Linked DNA regions of Arabidopsis thaliana. The protein of the gene in region 4 interacts with the protein of the main gene of each other region in a pairwise test. Each region holds a gene or a part of one and is shown on either strand. Other genes may lie near its edges. The genes, in order: AGL23, AGL86, LBD40 and NF-YA8.

The links.
Region 1: the proteins of NF-YA8 (region 4) and AGL23 interact in a two-hybrid assay, tested with the Arabidopsis thaliana proteins (one large-scale study listed by BioGRID).
Region 2: the proteins of NF-YA8 (region 4) and AGL86 interact in a two-hybrid assay, tested with the Arabidopsis thaliana proteins (one large-scale study listed by BioGRID).
Region 3: the proteins of NF-YA8 (region 4) and LBD40 interact in a two-hybrid assay, tested with the Arabidopsis thaliana proteins (one large-scale study listed by BioGRID).

Annotation. Positions count from the first base shown.
Region 1 is NC_003070.9:24,279,141-24,283,359, reverse strand, and holds AGL23 (AGAMOUS-like 23), read right to left. Parts: upstream 2,024-4,219; coding exon 1,712-2,023; intron 1,578-1,711; coding exon 1,209-1,577; 3' UTR 1,127-1,208; downstream 1-1,126. UniProt on the Arabidopsis thaliana protein: Probable transcription factor that controls female gametophyte (megagametogenesis) development and chloroplast biogenesis during embryo development.
Region 2 is NC_003070.9:11,317,652-11,322,066, forward strand, and holds AGL86 (AGAMOUS-like 86), read right to left. Parts: upstream 1,897-4,415; coding exon 877-1,896; downstream 1-876. Other genes in the region: AT1G31620 (uncharacterized protein), read left to right, coding at 166-243. UniProt on the Arabidopsis thaliana protein: Probable transcription factor.
Region 3 is NC_003070.9:25,051,517-25,055,766, reverse strand, and holds LBD40 (LOB domain-containing protein 40), read right to left. Parts: upstream 2,095-4,250; 5' UTR 1,967-2,094; coding exon 1,777-1,966; intron 1,620-1,776; coding exon 1,108-1,619; 3' UTR 903-1,107; downstream 1-902.
Region 4 is NC_003070.9:6,049,407-6,054,912, forward strand, and holds NF-YA8 (nuclear factor Y, subunit A8), read right to left. Parts: upstream 3,223-5,506; 5' UTR 2,998-3,222; exon of another isoform or gene 2,647-2,997; 5' UTR 2,579-2,646; coding exon 2,296-2,578; intron 2,146-2,295; coding exon 2,045-2,145; intron 1,964-2,044; coding exon 1,889-1,963; intron 1,682-1,888; coding exon 1,526-1,681; intron 1,447-1,525; coding exon 1,075-1,446; 3' UTR 758-1,074; downstream 1-757. Other genes in the region: AT1G17600 (Disease resistance protein (TIR-NBS-LRR class) family), read right to left, coding at 3,620-3,808, 3,883-4,974, 5,099-5,401, 5,502-5,506. UniProt on the Arabidopsis thaliana protein: Stimulates the transcription of various genes by recognizing and binding to a CCAAT motif in promoters.

The DNA.
Region 1 (4,219 bases), about 18 Mb from region 4:
GTTAATATTCAACACACCAAAATAAAATAAAATAGAAGTTATTCATTTTTTAGTATTTATATTTCCAAGATATATCTAATCATTTTGTTTTTGCCGGTTTGCAGGGTTAGGCTTGTTAATCTTCATTGGTGGAGTATATTGGTTATAAAATTTAGTAGAAAACAAATGAGGCTAAACCAAAAGAGAAAGTTCTTCAAACGTACTGGGGGTTTATTGTTGCAACAACAATTGACTTCAACAGAAGGCAATGTCGAGAAGACAAGAGTGTTCAGCTCGAGTGAGTTAGAGAAAGCCACTGAAAACTTCAGCCTAAATAGAATACTTGGTCAGGGTGGTCAAGGTACTGTGTACAAGGGAATGCTTGTCGATGCTAGAATTGTAGCAGTAAAGAAACCCAAAGTTGTGGACGCAGACAAGCTAGAAGAGTTCATCAATGAGGTTGTAATTCTTTCGCAGATTAACCATAGAATCGTGAAAATCTTAGGTTGTTTCCGTAATGAGACAAATGTCCTTCTTCTCGTCTACGAGTTTATTCCCAATGGCAACCTTTTCGAGCATCTTCACGATAAGCTGATGATTTCACGATGATTACTTGGGATGTACGTCTCCGCATAGCAGTGGATATTGCATGAGCTCTTTCATACTTGCTCTCGGCTGAATCATCTCCAATCTATCACAGAGACGTCAAGTCTACAAACATCATGTTAGATGAGAAATATCGAGCCAAAGTTTCGCGATGGGATATATGGATCCTGAGTACTTTCAGTCTAGCCAATTCACAGCAAAGAGTGATGTCTATAGCTTTGTGGTTGTGCTGGCTGAGTTAATATAGCATATCAAAGTTGTAAATTACTAGACTTATATAGATCTTTGGGAAATTACTAGAATATTAACTATGCCTCAAAAATATATAGTTCCATATACACAATAAACATATAAGATCACAGTAATGAAAATATTATAAAACTTCATATAGCTTTATTCATGTTCCACCAAAAAACATCGAAAGCTACAAGACACAAAGAACAACGAAAAGAAACAACAAGCCAATTGACTCAAGACTTAATTAAAAGACATACGACACCAACAATTAAAAAAAAAAAAAAAAAAAAAAAAAAAAAGACACAACAAACTATTGGAGACTTAAAAAGTCAACAACGAGAGAGATGAACTTATAGTACCAAGACCCATAATGAGGATAGACTTATTTAAACTCCTGGTGTGCGATTCATAATATCAAATCCAAACAGAAGTGTTTGAGTAGGATTAGTCGTCATTCCGTTTTGATCAAAGAACCCCTGGTTTGTGGAGATATTACCACCACTAACAGTTGCTGGAGCAGCAGCATTGCTAGAACTTCCAACATAGAAGTTTGGGTTTGTTTGATGGATTAATTGAATTGCTTTTTCATCAACTATCTTCTTCAAATCTTTAAGAACACGTATCATACAGGTTGATTGACTTAAGTTGAGTTCTAATGGAGACTTACTCCACCACTCCTCAGCGTTTTCGTTTTCTCTTTCATTTTGAGCCCGCGACTGCTTATTCTTTTGTTCTTTTTCTACTTCCGCCTTCACCTACGAATAAATCCACGAATAATGAATTTGTTAAGAATATCCATGAATTGTGAAACATTTATATAATATTCAATATCAAAATCGAAAAATAAGAGAGAAACAAATATTAGATATTGCCAACAATTGACATTTACCTCAGTGTAGGATTTGTTGAGCATTTGAACATGAAGCTTTGTGTAGCTTTCATCAAGGTTTGTGTTGTTGTGTCCTACAACACACCCTCGAAAGTGGTCAAGCAGAACATCAACATTTGGATGACCAAAAGAAAATACTTTTCCAGCTGGTGAAAACACGATCATCGCAATTTTTGCATCACATAATGTGCAAAATTCACTAGCCTTCTTAAAAAGACCAGCTTTTCTCTTGGAAAATGTGACTTGAAGGTTTGATTCCTTAGTCATTTTCACTATCTCTACCTTTCTACGACCAAGAGTTTTTTTCACCATTTTTTAGATGTTTTGAAGAAAGAAAAATTGAATTGATTGTATTAAAGATAATATGTCTTTGTATTTATAGAAAAAAACATACAAAATTTGTTTAGAGTTTTAAATGTAAATATAATTTCCTATTTTATATATTAGAAATAAATTATAAATTACCATTTAAGGCTTAGATACAGATTTACAGATTTTGTCAATAAAAGGTATATAATTATTACAGTTTTATCTATAACATTATCATTTAGCTATTATATTTGTTACAGCCTGTCAAGTTATTAAAAATTTTGGGGATATCTTTCCTATTACAAACCTATCAAATATAGGTACCAATGATTGGTTAAAGGATTTTTTCCATTATTTTCTATAGTCAATATCCTTTTTAACCTTTTTTATTAATCAAACTAATCTTATAAAATAAAATAAATAATTATTAAGTGTTTAAGATTTATATAAAATTCATAATGCATTAATGAAATATTATGTCCAACTTCCTTTTATTATATAGAAAATTGAAAAATATAAATTTAAGTTTGATCGCCGACTTTCAAAGTTCTTATTGCATATTAAGTAATAGTTGTTTGATATTTTAACTGTGATCGCCGACTCTTCAAGTTTTTATTGTGAGATAAACATATATATATATATATATATATTTCACACATCTCTAAGATTGATTCCCCTTTCTAAGTTTTTATTTTTGGATGTTACAAAGAATCCAACTAAATTAGTTCCTTAATACTTTATGTCATCGCCGCCTTTTCAAGTATTTTGTATAAGATTAAAATTATCTAAATAAAAACAATTGTATAATAATTCATTATTAAAATTATTTTCAACTTTTTGTTGTAGTATTAAAAATATCTAAATTAAAAAAGTTGTCCAATAATTTATTTTTAATCGCCTGCTTTTGAATTTTTAGACTGCCGACTTTTGATGTAAAAATAATTAAATTATGTTTTATCTCCGAATTTTCAAATTTTTATTGTCATATTAAAAATATCTAAATAAATAAATGTATAACTCTCTTTTTAGATAAGGTTAAAAACTAGTTTATGTTATCTTTAAATATATTAATCCAATTTAAACATGACACATGACGACATCTTATGTTTTACTTTACAATCACATAAGGTAACAAATTTGAATGCCAAACATTATAACAATAATAAATTACCATTGTAGGAGTAAATTATATATTTTGACAATAAAAGTATATAATTGATTATACTAGAAATCGACTCACTCTAATACTATGCCATAGTATTTTAATTATTTTAAATGTTTATTTTATTTGGAGTTTTATAATTAAAATATATAAATAAATAAATAAAACTTGGATAATATTCTTAAATATTTTGTTATTGAAATTTCTTTACAACAATGTAAATTTTAACTATAATAAGTGGTGGCAATGTTAAATGTTAAGTGACAAAATTTGGAAAATAAGTTAGATATTTTATATTATTATAATGATTTCAAGAACTCATAAACATTTTGATGAATTGCAAGATTTGCTTGCTAAAGTAAACGCCAGAAAACATTGGGCAGATACCTATTTTTCTTTGATTGTATTGGTGGTGCATGTAAAATTGCTTTGTAAAGAACAAATCTCATATTTGTACTCGTTCCTATCTATGTATATCGGATATCAACGTTAAATTTTGCACTTTATCTTTTGCCTAAGTAGATGACTTTTCTCAAGAGTAGCCGAATTTCCTGTATAGTATCTGCATTTTCTTAAAGTGATTTCCTTACTTACAGCTAGAGACTACATTACCTTTATTTCTCCAGAAATTGCATTAACAAATTCTTGCCACCATGGGAATAGGTTATAAAAAGTAGTTTAGCAACAAAAGCCGTATACAATAGTGATATTGTGCCCTTCAAAGAAAATAAAAAAGAGAGTGGAGATAAGAACGACTTAAACAAAACGAAAAAAGGCTTTGGATATAAAGCATATATACACCAGTTTGTTAGTCAATTCACTTTCTCTTTATCCGTTTGTTTAGTTTGAGTATTGAAATATCAGTGACGTTACTAATGTTTCATTTAGAATGATCGCATAGACATAACAGAAGATCACATTTTGAAAATGAAAGTTACCTTTTAAGCTCACTCATGGTGAAGTGAAGGCAATGGAGATCAAGGTCTTTCTACAGTCTTGCAACTCCCCCAAACTGAGAAACCATCTTGAGTATAATT
Region 2 (4,415 bases), 5.3 Mb from region 4:
CTCTTTTTGGGATGATGTTGAGTGTGCTAAAATGTCATTTCCAGACACCAACAAGGCTGGTGAGATCATTATTGCCCCAAAGAGGTTGTCACTCAATTTTCGACCCTTCTACATTTTCTACTACAATGTTGAAACAAAAAACATAAGAAGAGTTAAAGCTCCTAGGATTTGGAGACAGTGAAGAGTTTAGGCGCTCTTATGGATTCGAAAGAACCTCCGGCTCCCGTGAATCTCTTGTTCTGATCGCACATAACCACACGTCCAGAGTGTTGGCTTTTTTAAGGATCCTAGAATTAATTTAACTTGATTCGTAGGATCCTAATGTAAGAGATAACTGAAAACTTGCCTTTTATTTTAGTTTCATTATTTTATCATGTTGATTTTTCAAATTTTCAACACTAAACAAGCTACAGTTTGTATTGTTAATCTTTTGGGTTTGCTGAGACGTGTGTTCATTATTTATGTTCATGTTTTTACTTCTTTAGTGTGTTCATTTGCTCGCTATATAGGTAGGTGTGGGAAGTAAATAAATTATGGATTGAGAAAGAGATATACAGAGTATTGATGTTTTTGCGAATAATATATCCAAAGTAAGATTTTCTATGAAACAAAATATATTTGATTTTAGCAGATCTATTTAGTTATGTATTTTAAGAACAAAAAACAAAGTAAAAACAAATTTATGACCAAACTTCTTCAAATATAATTGAAATATCCGGCTCTACGGCGCAGAAATACATTACCCAATACATAAAAATATAACTGACTTAAAGGTAAAACCTTCAACTCTTACAACAATTAACTGAAAAGAAAAGACATTATTAGAGATTGGTCTTTTGAAATGGACAAAACACAAATGCAAACTACTGAAACACATCACACAACGGTGGTGTTGGTGGTGGTGGTGGTGGTGGCGTTGTTGGAAGGCATGTGACCGGTGGTAGTAAGACCAACGGTTGGTGGTTGGTGGTAGTTGTAGTAGTTTCCGTTCATGAAAGGGATGTGTGCATGCTCTGCAGCATAACCCACTTGTTCATAAGGATATTCCATCAACATCTCCATGAATGGATCATCTTGAAACGGATACTGATGATTTGGATCCAAACTGAGATTATCATAGATTCCATGTTGGATCTGATGATTAAAATCCACAGGAGCTTGGTATTGAATATTATCACTAAAAGCAGTAGGGATATAGGGCTGAATCGGCTCATACTGATTCTGAGCCATAGGAGGACCGGCACCCGCAACAGCAAGAGGAGCCGCACCCACACCCGCAACAGCAAGAGGACTCGCACCCGCCCCCGCAACAGCAAGAGGAGCCGCACCCGCACCCGCAACAACAAGAGGAGCAGCACCCGCACCCGCACCCGCACCCGCAACTGAAGTATGAAGCGGAGGAGGAAAGGAAGAAGAAGACGCACCATTGTTTGTAAGGAGCATGACACTTGAATTAAGCTGATTGATATAGTGATCAATATAAAGACTTAAATCTTGAAGGTCCCTTGCACCATACTGATGCTCACTCATCTTACCTTCAACACAATCAAACATAAATTGCCTAAGCTGAGATTCTCGGTTTTCACGACGTAGACTCTCCAGTTTCTTTGTTTCTTTGGTAATTTTGTCCTGCAAGTAGGTCTCATGACTCATCATCAGCTTGGATTGTTCTGTCGCCGGCCTCTCCATAAACATGGAAACCGCCTCTTGAACACCTTCGGTTGACGGCCACACCACTGGATTCTCGTACGGACTGGAGATTACCGCACATGCTTTGACGCCGCAGAGAGTTGTTAGCTCATGGAGTTTGTTCGTTATCCCTCCCTTCCTCTTCCTGAATGTGGTTCTCCTTGAGGTCTTATTAGCTATGAGTGATAACTTAATTTTCGACCTCATTATCTTTGTTTTTCTTTTCTTTGGTGTGTGTTTTGTTTACTTTCTTGGCCCAAGACTGTCTTGTTTATATAGAAATGAAAATTGTGCTTTTACACAGTACGTGGCTTTTCACGTTGCTGGACTCATTAGATTTGTTTTGTGTTTACTGTCTCATTAATTGACGAGGCCACTAATTAAAGCTATGTCTAAGAATAGATTTTCTTTTCTTTTTACTAAGAATAGTTTATCTTCCTATATTACTCTCACTTTTCTTTTAAGAGTAATTTAAAGTTTTGTTTATAAACTATGAAATTTAGTAATAGTTTGAAGTGTTTTTTTTTCTTCTTTTTAAATAGAGTACTCCATCTTCAATTTACATGTAAAATCATGAATATATACAAGCTCAAAAGAGTTGTTTATTTATAGAAAAAAAATGAAAACAATATAACGTGAGTCTTACGAAATATTTAGAAAGCACGAAAGTTTTTGAAAACAATGTAACATGAATCTCACGAAATATGTGTTCTATTTCTAAGAAAATCTTTAAACTACCTATATACATTAAAGGAGAACATACCAAGAAGTTTGTAAACCAATATAATAAGATAATAAAATATCATTAAAATTTATATTAATTAATTTAGTAAAAATATTTGATACTTACAATAATAACAAATGAAAATATATAATAGTAGAGTATTAGAGAAAAATATATTTTTTTAAATCTCAGATTTGGTTATATGAACTTTTTTAATAAATATATTAAAAGAACATTTGTCATGGCCTGCAGGTCCACCTGATTTTTTTTAATCATTAAGTTGATTCTAATTAAAAGGAAATTTGGATAAAATAACTGTTTTATACATTAATAGATGGATTTCTTTCCTCTTTTGGCTCAGTAATAAATTAGTTTAGAGATAATTTGTTAAATCATGCATATATTATACCTTTTGGAGAATACTTTTTCTTTTATTGGGTTAGAATATTTCATTGCATTGCCAGCTAATTATAAGCTGTAAATAGGGAAATTAAAGATTTTAGACTACGTATAGAAAACTTCCAGTTGTTTTTACATACCCAAAGAAATATCTAAACTTTAAAGTATTAATATTTAAATATAGTTTAATTATATATTAATTTTTGGTTTAAAAGCAAAAAATGAACCAATTAAAAAAAGACAAGTGTAATATACCCAAAGTTCAAGTTAATATACCAAAAGTTCTTATTTAAGAACCTTTCTCTTATTTCTCTCATACTTTTTTTGTGTGGTATGATTATAATGAGAGAGAATCCAAAAAAAATGGAGGTCTAACAATAACCAAAAAATAAGAAAAACAAGAATGCACATCGTTAATTAGACTTTGTTTGACTGGTTCTCTTCTTATCAATTACATTTACAAAATGTAGAAATTTCTCTAAAATAAATAGCATATTTATTGATTTTTGATTAAATGTTTTCAAATAGTTATAAAAATACTATAGAGTAGAAGATATTACATGAGAGAATGGTAAATAATTCAATCCAGTAGTAGTTTAATTTCCATTCTCTTTAAATGCTAAATTTTATTTCAAGCTCACCGTATATTTTTGGCTCAGATAATAAATAACTTTCATCTGCCATAAAACACTAATTTTCATGTTTATTTATATGTTTAGTTAGGGGCGACTTAAGCTACTTATAGTTATAGGTCATGTTCAAAAGTTTAACTATAGATATCTTAAATAAGGTCCATATATATACATAAGAACTTTTTTTGGTAATCACGATCCGTTTAATCTATGTATTTAATTTACACATACTAAAACAATTCAAGGTATAGTCGATCTTATCTGAACGTTGTAGTAAGCATAACTGGTCACCAAAAATATGTTCTTAGTTGAAGTACACACTTGAATCCAACCCAAAAAACCTCGTCAGTGTTGGGATGATACACGAAGTGAAGCCTATAGTTGAAATAGAACGCTAGGAAGCCATTTTTCTAAAAAAAAATCTTAATGAATACTTAGTAGGTGATAGGTACAGATAGAGATACATTAAGGCTTGTGTTAATTTCAAATTACCTTAGGCCCATAATATATGCATATCCTAAAATATACCTTATTTTCTTAATATCTCAGCTTTTTATTTAAAATTTTCAGAAGAGCCAAATCAATTTAACCATATTCAATCTTAATACAGTCTTTAAAACGGTTTTTAAAGGAGAAGCTTCAGGTGGCACGCATCGAACTAGGAAGACCCTCTAAATCAAGGAGAAGTATCAGAAGGCACTTTACTTAAACACCACAGTCTACTGCTTCTACTTGGAGTTGTATTCACTGAATTACCTGCCTTAGCAACTGCAAACAAAAAATAGAAAACCAGTCTCTGTCCCATCGGAGAGGCCTTACACGGGACCAAAGCAAAGGCCTTTGGGGTGCTCTTTAGGGTCACATGAGCTAAGGATGCTACTCGGTGGTGCAAGGGAGTTATAACTCTTTCAAGATTTCTCCCATTCTTGAAAGAATCCAGAAAGCAAGATTCGCAAGTGTTCGGGAATATG
Region 3 (4,250 bases), about 19 Mb from region 4:
GAAAGAAGAAAGAGACAAATCGATCATTTTGCCGAAAAAATATATATTAATTAGTTTCTCTAGATTTAACGGAAAAACAAAAGTTTGAATGATTTTTATACTTTGGCAATTAACGGAAAAACAAAAGTATAAAATGCAGTTTAATATATATTTTATCCGTTAACCGAAAAAATATATATTAATTAATGATTTAACTTTGGCAAACTGCATTTTACTGAATAGCTTTACAATTAAAACAGACTCACCATACAAATAATTTTACATATATTATTGATTTTTTTGGCTTATAATACTTTTAGTTTCTGAAATCAAAATTTATGGAAACAAAAGTATCTTCTTATTTATCAAAAAGTAAGTCACAACAGCCCAAAATATCTGTAGGCTAGAAACTGCATTAATTATTTTAGCATATCTGATAGTATGAGAATTGAGTGTATAGGGGGGGAAGATAGATGGACAAAACAGGATTCAAGTCCGAAAGAGTTGGGCTATGTTTTCTGCTGAATACACATTTCGACCCAATTAGTTAAAATAATTCATCCTTTTCGTTTTCTCTAGCTAATTAAGTTCCTACACATATCCTTCGAGAACAAAAATCTAACACACATGCATGTTAGCTGCTGAGTCATTTGGTAACACGGTTCACATACAAAAGGGCTTTTTGAGACAAAATATTTATAAATGAATGACTAATCATCATATGGAGATTTCATCATTAAGCAACTTAGATTCTTTGTAATCTAACCCCAGATATTTCTGAAATAGAAGATTTGTTAAGTTTTTTTTTATATAAATAAAATACAAAATTTATTGGGATAAACGTGTTTACATCAATTGCATCGTTTGTTTAAGTACATGAGTAAAATCAAGAATTTAGAATGGAAAGAAGAAATGTTTGTTATGTCGATCCGAACCAAGATTTGTTAAGTTAAGACCTCTTTATCATTCATCATACATATTTATGAAGAACACCGAACATGCAAAAGAAAACAAAACAAAACATAAAACTCAAAAAGAGAAAAAAGAGAGATTCGTTAATCTCTATTTGTACACCTAAAACTCAACACCAAAACTTGTAATTAAGACCAGCCACAAAAAAAGAACCATTCACTCACTGCACACCAGTCCAAGCTCAATCTTACACGTGTCCTCATCCTCAGACGTGCCACACCTCTCTAACTTTCTTTTCTTCATCGGTACCACCACGTGATTTCCACGTGCTAAAGGCTCCAACCCCAAAGTCAGCTCAAGCCCGATCCAAGTCTTTGGTTCCTCCGTCGTCGTCTCCTCAGAAGACACCGGTGACTCGTGACTCAGTGACGACTCATGACTCAAAGACCTCACGTTTCTCTCTTCCTTGCATGCACCACGGCTCCGTCTCTTAACGTTCTCGTCCCTGCTTGACACGTGTCTTATGTCGCAAAGCTTGTTGTTAAAAGGAGGTGCTTGACCAGTAACCGCTGCGTCGCATGCGATCGGAGTCACGGGTGAGCCTCTCATTACTGCCTCAACGGCCGCTTGACAAAGATGCCAGTTTCCTGACCACAATAACCCCACGGATCCGTATATCGGATTCACAATCCTCCCGCATGCTTCGTACAACAATGATCTAAATATCGCTGCAAAAACAAACAAAATTACCAAATTATTAGATGCATGTTAGAAAAATAAACAGGATCCTACGTTTCCTAAAAAGATGTATGAGAGATTCCGTCCAGAACTTCGCAATTAACCATAACAAACAAAAAACATAACATGCATGGGAAGTTTGAATACCAGGACGGAGGTGGTCAGGACCGGTGTTGAGGAGGTTCATGAGCCCCGCACGGCCATAAAACTTGGCGAGGAAGACGGTGGCGTTGGCTTGAGATTCAGCGGATTTGATCCATTGAAGACAAGGTCTTATGCTACAGTTTTCACTGCAGCCTTTTCGTAGAACTCGACATCCGTTACAACTCATACGCATTTTAGATGGGAAACAAAAAACAAAATGTGTTTTGGGTTTGAGGGAAAGTACAGAATGGTCCAGAGATCTTAGAAGAAGGAAGAGGTATTTAAGAGGGAGAAGCTGCTTGGGTTTGGTCGGAGAGATCATAACAATTAACAAGGAACGAAGTTGTCGTTTTCTTTGTGTGTAATTTTTTTCAAAAAATAAATAAATTTGTGACGTGCATGTTATATTTTTCTCTAAATGGATATCGTAATTTTCAAAGTATAAATAAGATGTAAAGAGCCCAAAAAAGAAGAGTTTTGTAATTGTTTTTATATTTTGTATGAATTATTTTAGTAAATTACGAGAATATTACCTTTATTTAGGTAAGTAATTTTTTCAAACTGTTATTATGTGTTTATAAAAATAAACAAAGCTTCTCATACTATTTGTATAGTTATAAAATTTTAAAATCTTTAATTTTCATGGTTTATACATTTTGTTTGTTTGTTTGTAGTTACTAATAATATATATTTTTTTTTTTGGGGAAAATAGTTACTAATAAATATGAAATATATATGGAAGCCCGTTGAGCTTTGTCTTTGGCTCTCATTCGTAGCGCGTGATCATCATCGACGAAAATGTCCAAAACCAGTCAAGTATTTTATTTTTTTGGTTAGTTGTTTATATCTGACCGCCGTTTGTTTTTGTCTAGACCGCAGTTTAATGTTCGGCAATTAATAATGGACTGCCAAAATATTTGGAGATAGTAAATTTTGAAAACGAAATTACTAGAGGGTAAAATGGTAAATAGAGAGATGAGAGGTTCGAATTTCAACGTTCGCATGCAAGCGCAAAAGTGTGATCGCGTGGCGGAGACATTGTGGTAACAGAGTTTGGTCGAATCGCCGCGTTTTCTGAGCGGTTACACATTATGTAGCTCCATACATAATTCTGATAATTAATATTAATATCCAAATACCTACTTAATAAATTATCTTAATGGAATCACTTTGACTTCTATAGGCTCTAGTATATATCAACATTAATATCGAAAGACCTACTAATAAATTATCTGCATGGATCACTTTGACTAATATAGGCTCTACAATTTTTACTTTTAGGTGAATAGATGCCAACGTTTATTGGTTAGATTTGGTAGTTTCTTCCATTGAAACACCCATCATTGAATGGTGATGTTTGAATTATTTCTATTACTTCTTTAATAAAATAAAGAAAAAAACGCACACACAATCTATTAATTATTATTAAGGTTTAGAAACAGTTAAAAATTAAAATTATAGAAAATATATAAATATCTATCAAAAATGTTAAAAATGTCAAATCGCAAACAAAGTTTAGATAAAATATTTATTTAAGTATATCAAACATTATATAAACATTTATAATTATTTATATAAAGATAAAACTTAGTTAAAAACTAGAAAAATACAGTAAAACAAAATATATATAATTTTAACGGATAAAACGATTTATTTTTTCTTCTGCCGGCTATCACACGATTAATACGATTGTCTCCACTTTAACTAATAATATAATCATGCGAACAATCATAACTATAGCTAGTAGACTCTATAGAGTCAATTTTTCTGAAAGACCAGTTACAGACGAATGTGAAAGCTATATATGCTATATGATATATACTAGTATGAAATAAATTTGTTGTCGTTTCAGGTAATTTAGAAGACCTGTATAAAGTTGTACAATAATTTTCTATATCAAATAACTTAACATATTGTAAGATAAACAATAAGTCAATAACCTAATTCCTATATGTATATATATTATGTTTTTGAAAAATTCAAATGGTATATATACATGTTTAGATAGACGTATGGATAAATACAGTTTCAACCAAATTATCATATTGCTATAGAAGTGATTGACAAACAGATATGATAATTCATTAAAATAAAAATGCATAGGTAAGAGGTAGAAAAATAGATGCATACAAAATATAAGCATACGAATAAAATTTTTTGTCGTCTTTCTTATTGTCGTCTTATAATAAACAAATAAATACAAATTCTCTTAATTGACAAATACGAAAATGGATATGTGCTAGCTGGAATAATACAATGATATAATCCTTTATAGAGATTTATCTGATACAGAATCGAACGTTAACTCTTCCTTTTGGTTTAACAATTTCTATTTCCCCCGAATTCTATCAAAAGTGAAGCTAGAAAAATCCAAATCTAGAACTAGAAACAAGCCATGAATGTGTAAAAAATAAAAGTTTGTGAACTCTTGTTGATGATACACTGAACTGAAAAAAGAAAGACAAATGGAGGAGAGA
Region 4 (5,506 bases):
ATATGCCTATCTTTGCCAGTGGCTTTCTGGTACTGTTCTACTATTAATAGGGGTATATTGGGTAGGAAAAAATATATATATGTGAACTAAATATTTGTTGTGTCCATGCGTTGATAGGCCATTTGCTTAATGAATTTTACTTTGTTTATCATTTTTCAAATTATTAGTTTTTTTTTTTGTCACTATTGTTCTTTATTGACTGATCCAAACAAGTTTACAAGGCCAAAGTTGAAGCCCAAAATTGAAGCCCAAAGTATTACATCAAGGAAAAGATCAAAAGAAGGATAACTCTTGCGTTAGTTAATGTGTCAACAACATCGACACGTGGTGAAAACGTGTTGCAAAAGAAACATTGCAATTTCCCGTCATCCTTTACAGTCTAGTCTTTAGTTATGTTTGTATGTTTTTGGAAACATATCTGTGTTAAGAGATATTCCCTTTGTGTATAAATACACTGCTAGTGATTGTAACTCGGGGGTACTCAGACAGAAAAGCGTTTAGGGAACATTTGTTCAAGGTGTTACTGCCGCCATTGCTGGTAGTGTCTCCGCTTTGATTACAGTGACATAATTAAAGACTAGACTGCAGGTTCTAAATGTGGAAGATAGTAATAGTAGTAGTAGTAACGATAGGAACTGCAGTCTGACTATCTACAGACGGTTAGAAACTTGGTCGGGGAAGGTGGTTGGACGGCTTGTTACAGAGGATTGGGACCAAGCTGCGCTTCTAGTCAATGTGTTCTATGACTATGATATATGATATAAACAACACCGGAATGGAGTGTATGAATCTGGTTTAGCTTTACTAACTATGAATAAGCAAAGAGCAGAGACTTATCGGTTATCAGATTTACATTTACATTCATCACTCCAATCCAATCACTGACTTAACACACGATGATCCATGGTACAAACGACAGACGAAAAGTAAAGAGTTGAAGCTTGAAGGTTTTTGGTCATTCAAATGATATCTGGACAAAGCGTGTGAAATAAGAACTAGCTAATAAGCGAAGTAGCAGCCAAGGATGACTTCCCTTTTTTTGTAGGAACGTACACATTACCAGATTCCACCGGCTCAGATATGGACAGAGAAATGGTGTGTGTTCCTACCTCCATGCATGTCATTTGATTGACCATGAACATACATTGTTGGGTTTGTCTGAGATGGGCAATCTGATATCAGAAATTCAGAGTGTCCAAAGAGATTAACGCTGTCAGAAGCAGATGTGATGTCAGAGCGAGAAGTGGTTGAACAATCACAGTCATTGCTGTTCTGCAACTGATAAAGCACAAATCTTGACATGTTTCCCGTTGCGTGTTGCTGTTGGATTGGCATGTCTTGTTTTGGATCTGTAGATTCTTGAAGCTTTTTGGTGTTTAGGAATCTTCCACCAGATCCTCTAGGTCGTTTAAGAGCGTGAACATGTCGAGATTCATGAAGATACGGCTGTATGATATTTGATAATGAGTTATGTTTAGTCATTAAACCAAAGTAAGATACCGAAACGCTGACCAAAATACTATACCTTACGGGCTTTGATTAGTTTGTTTTGCGCCTCTAGCTTAGCACGCTGTTGCCTCCTCCTCATAATTGCATGGAATTGCTTTGCATTGACAAAGACAGGCTCATTCTCTATGAGATCGAATGGTAGCGGAACTCGAGTCATTTGGGGATTCCATATCTGCAGAAAGTTTTTAAGCAAACTGAAATCTCAAATGGAGAAATAAATTGCAAGACTAATTCACCATTTAAGGATGGCATTTCTTTCTATAGCTGTATATGTAACTACTTCAGAGCATAATGTTACATAACAAGTCCACCTTAAGTAAAAATGAGGTTTAGCATAAATATTCTCCTCACCATATGTAATCAAGGAGGATATACTTACTGTTGCCTGTGGTAGGTAAGCCGCAGGCATTAAACCACCAAAATGTGGATCGGCATAGTGAAATGAGAAGTTAGCCTGAAACCAGAGTATAACACAAGATGTCAGTAAACAATCACAAGTACTGCTTATCGTCACTCGTAGTAGATATACGGGTACCTTGGAAGGAGAAGAGTGAATATCAGCGATTCCTGCCGTGGAGGAGCCTGATTTAATTGCAAATCGCTTCCTTTGAGTTTCTTCAAATCCTTTACAAACATCTGAAAGAAAGAGAGCGAAAGATAACATTTTCAGGACAAAGGGATGGATTCTTTCGTAAATGGGACCAAAGATCAAGCTAAAACACCATGCGTCTTCAACATAATAGATCATAGTGAGTTGTCTAGAACCCAAAGTTGTTTAAAACGGACCTGAATGTGCTAAAAATGAGATTTGTCTTGAGGGGTTATCATCTCCACTACTTGTAACATCGTTAGAAGATTGAGCAGAGGACAGAGTTGAAGATGAATCCTGGTCCTGGAAACTGATATTCTTTGTGTTTATAAGACGTTCTGGTCTTGCATCTACCACCTTCAAACTCAGTGATTCAGTCACACCATTGGATTTGGTTGGAAGTCCCCATGAGATGGAAGTACTAAGGTATGGTGGAGTTGAATGTGCCACAGAGCTAGTAAATGAAACTTTCTTATCCATGTGACTCAGAGGCAACAATTAGCTCTCTCTCTCTCTGCTTCAACAGAGAAGATTGATGATACATGTGTCTGTCAAAGAAGCTCCAAATTCAGAACATCTTTATAAATGATAAAACTTTCAAAAGATATTTATTCCTGGAAACAGCAAAACCTTTGACGATGTAGTAGACAAAGAAGGGGATAATCCAAAAAGGGAAAAAAACCCAGAAACAGAGCAACATTCAGAACTATTTCGGGCAAACTATTAGAAGAGCGCGGCAGAAAAAAAAGTAAAGTTCCGACCAACTAAAATCAGCACCATTACTTTCGTCCTAAAAGGCGTTGACTTGGGAAGAAATTTCCAGAAGATTTCCGAATCAGCACATCACTCTAAAAAAAAGCGAAGAAATGACGGATTCAAAGAGAAGGAGATAGAGAGACCTTACGGATTCAAGGAAGAGATGAAGAACAGGAACTCAAGGGATGCCTATCAAAACAAAGTAAATCTCTTTTCTCTTTTGCTTATTCTCTCAGATAGATACTCAACAGTGTGTATGTGTGTGTGTGTATTCTTTTGATGCTTCATTTCCGTCACTCACAATTTTCTCTCTTATAAAGTCATTACCTTTCCAACAAAATCACCAGCTCCATTATTAGCAGTACCGCCACCTTCATTAGTATTTTTAATGCTTAATTAATATATTAGTTTTCTAATCTTATTGACTTATTATTTTGTTCACTTAACAAAGTAAACACTTATCTAGTTATCTGCCTATCCACTTTACAAAGTAAAACTATCGTCAAAAGCCTAATCTAGTGAGCAACTATATGGCAGCTGAAGCATCTAAAGCAAAGCTAATCTGCCTACTCTTTGTGTTTATGGACAAAATCTTGAAGCGTTCTTTGGATATAGTGGAACTCAGTTCCAAAATGCGAGTGGAAAAGAGAGAGAGAAGCAGAAGCAAGGGAGACTTGAAATGTAGTAAGTTTGTTACTACCTGGTAAATTACAGAAGAAAGCACACAGTTTAAGTCTTGAGGAAGCTGTTGCTGAGTCTTGAGTTTCACTTGAAAACACGCAGGAGTAAAATCACAAGAGCAGCCACTAGCGTGATGCAGATAGGGATGCCTACATACATAACCGCATGTGTGATCTTGGGAAGGCGGATGGTTTGGCGATTTCTTGTGGCTTGAGTTTTCAGTACATAACTCGACATCTCAGTTTCTTGGAAGTAGTCATTTCGTGTATGTGCCTATAAAAGAAGGGAGATGATAAAGGGTAACTACATCAATCATAGTAGAGACGGATCAAGAGCCAAGTATTCACCTCCTTGTTTGGTATGTCCTCAAAATGTTCTGCAGAACCAGCTTCGAGAGAATCACAGCCGTGTGCATCGAGAAATTGGAGAGACAAGGGAAGTTTTTCCACCGATTTGAGTTTCTTGCAGTTATTGAGGCAAAGTGTTACCAATGAGGTAAGATCTCTGATGCTTGATGGCAATGTCTCAAAATCATGGTTGCTGAGATCTAAACATGTCAACTTGGTGAAATGACTAAGCTGATCTGACAATGATTCAACACTCTTGCAATTTTCAAGGCAAAGCTCAAGCAAACAGTATCTTCCCTCATCTTGACTTGTGTTAGATAGTTTCGCCAATGATCTAAGGTTCCTACAGTTGGTAAGTGTAAGTGTCTGCACCTGAGTTAGCTTTGGCAACTCCTGGAGCTTAAAGCAGTTTTGAAGCCAGAGAGTTTTTAACCGGGAAAGGCTACTCATAGCTTCTGGTAAGTTCTCAAAATCATTTCCGCTGAGGTCCAGCTTCTCTAGTAAATCCAGGTGACAAATCCCAGATGGGATTTTCCTGATGTTTAAGTTCACTAGTTTTAGCTCTTTCAGGTCGGGAAAATCTGGAAAGACGTCAAAGGAGAAAGATTCACCGTTTTCTTTGTGGCTGAACCTCATGATGCGGAGGGAATTGAATCTGTTGCACTCTGAGATGACCCAAGGTGCTTGTTGCAGACTCATCGCCGATATAATGGGTATCTGTTGCTCAGAATTAAAAGAGACGTATTCAGCATATCCTCTAAATTTTGAACGAAACTCAAAAGTAATGTCTCCCCCAATCGATATGTTTATAAGTGCATCCATTTTCACTTTTGCGTCTGGGAACTCCAATCCAATATGTTGCTGCCTTGTAGATTTTCGTAGAAAAAACCGCAGGGCACTTCTACGCCCTCCACGGTAGGATAGCTTAAGCTTCTTTAAGGTAGACCTTTTTCCAATACACTCTGGAATGCCCTCCAGTCTCGTGCATTGTTCCAGAAGCAATTCCTCAAGACTCGTGATACTTGAAAGATCTGGAAGTTGCTTGAGATGCTTAGATCCCGTCACATCTAGTCTCTTCAAACTCTTCAACATCTGAGCAAGATACAACAACACATGGAAATAGTTGGAATTATGTTTCTCGCAAGGATTCTCTGTTTTCACACCATTGCTCTATCAAAAACACAAACACAAGATGCAGAATCATAGAAAAGATTACCGGTGTTCCACTCCAGAGAGTTTCTAAATCACTGTGACGCAGATTGAGTTCAACAAGAAAACATGGATCAGAACCGGAAGGCAGGGCTCTCAATGGAAATGCATCCCAATGGAATAGCCGTAGGCTACGAGGCAGGAACGGTTGGTCTGGAATGAGTTGCAGATTCGACTCTCTGTAATCTACATGCTTGTAAACCTTGAGAAACTTGAGATTATGCATACGGCCAACAACACTGGCCTCCATGGATAACACACAGGTCATATCACACGTGTGTAGGCACATGCATTCAGTTTGTTCTCCTCCCTGATGATAAGAAGACAAAAGAAACACAAAGCCAGAAACTCGTCAGGTCAGGATGCATGAAAATTTAAAAGAATAGATCAAAGATGATATAGATGCTTACGTCTC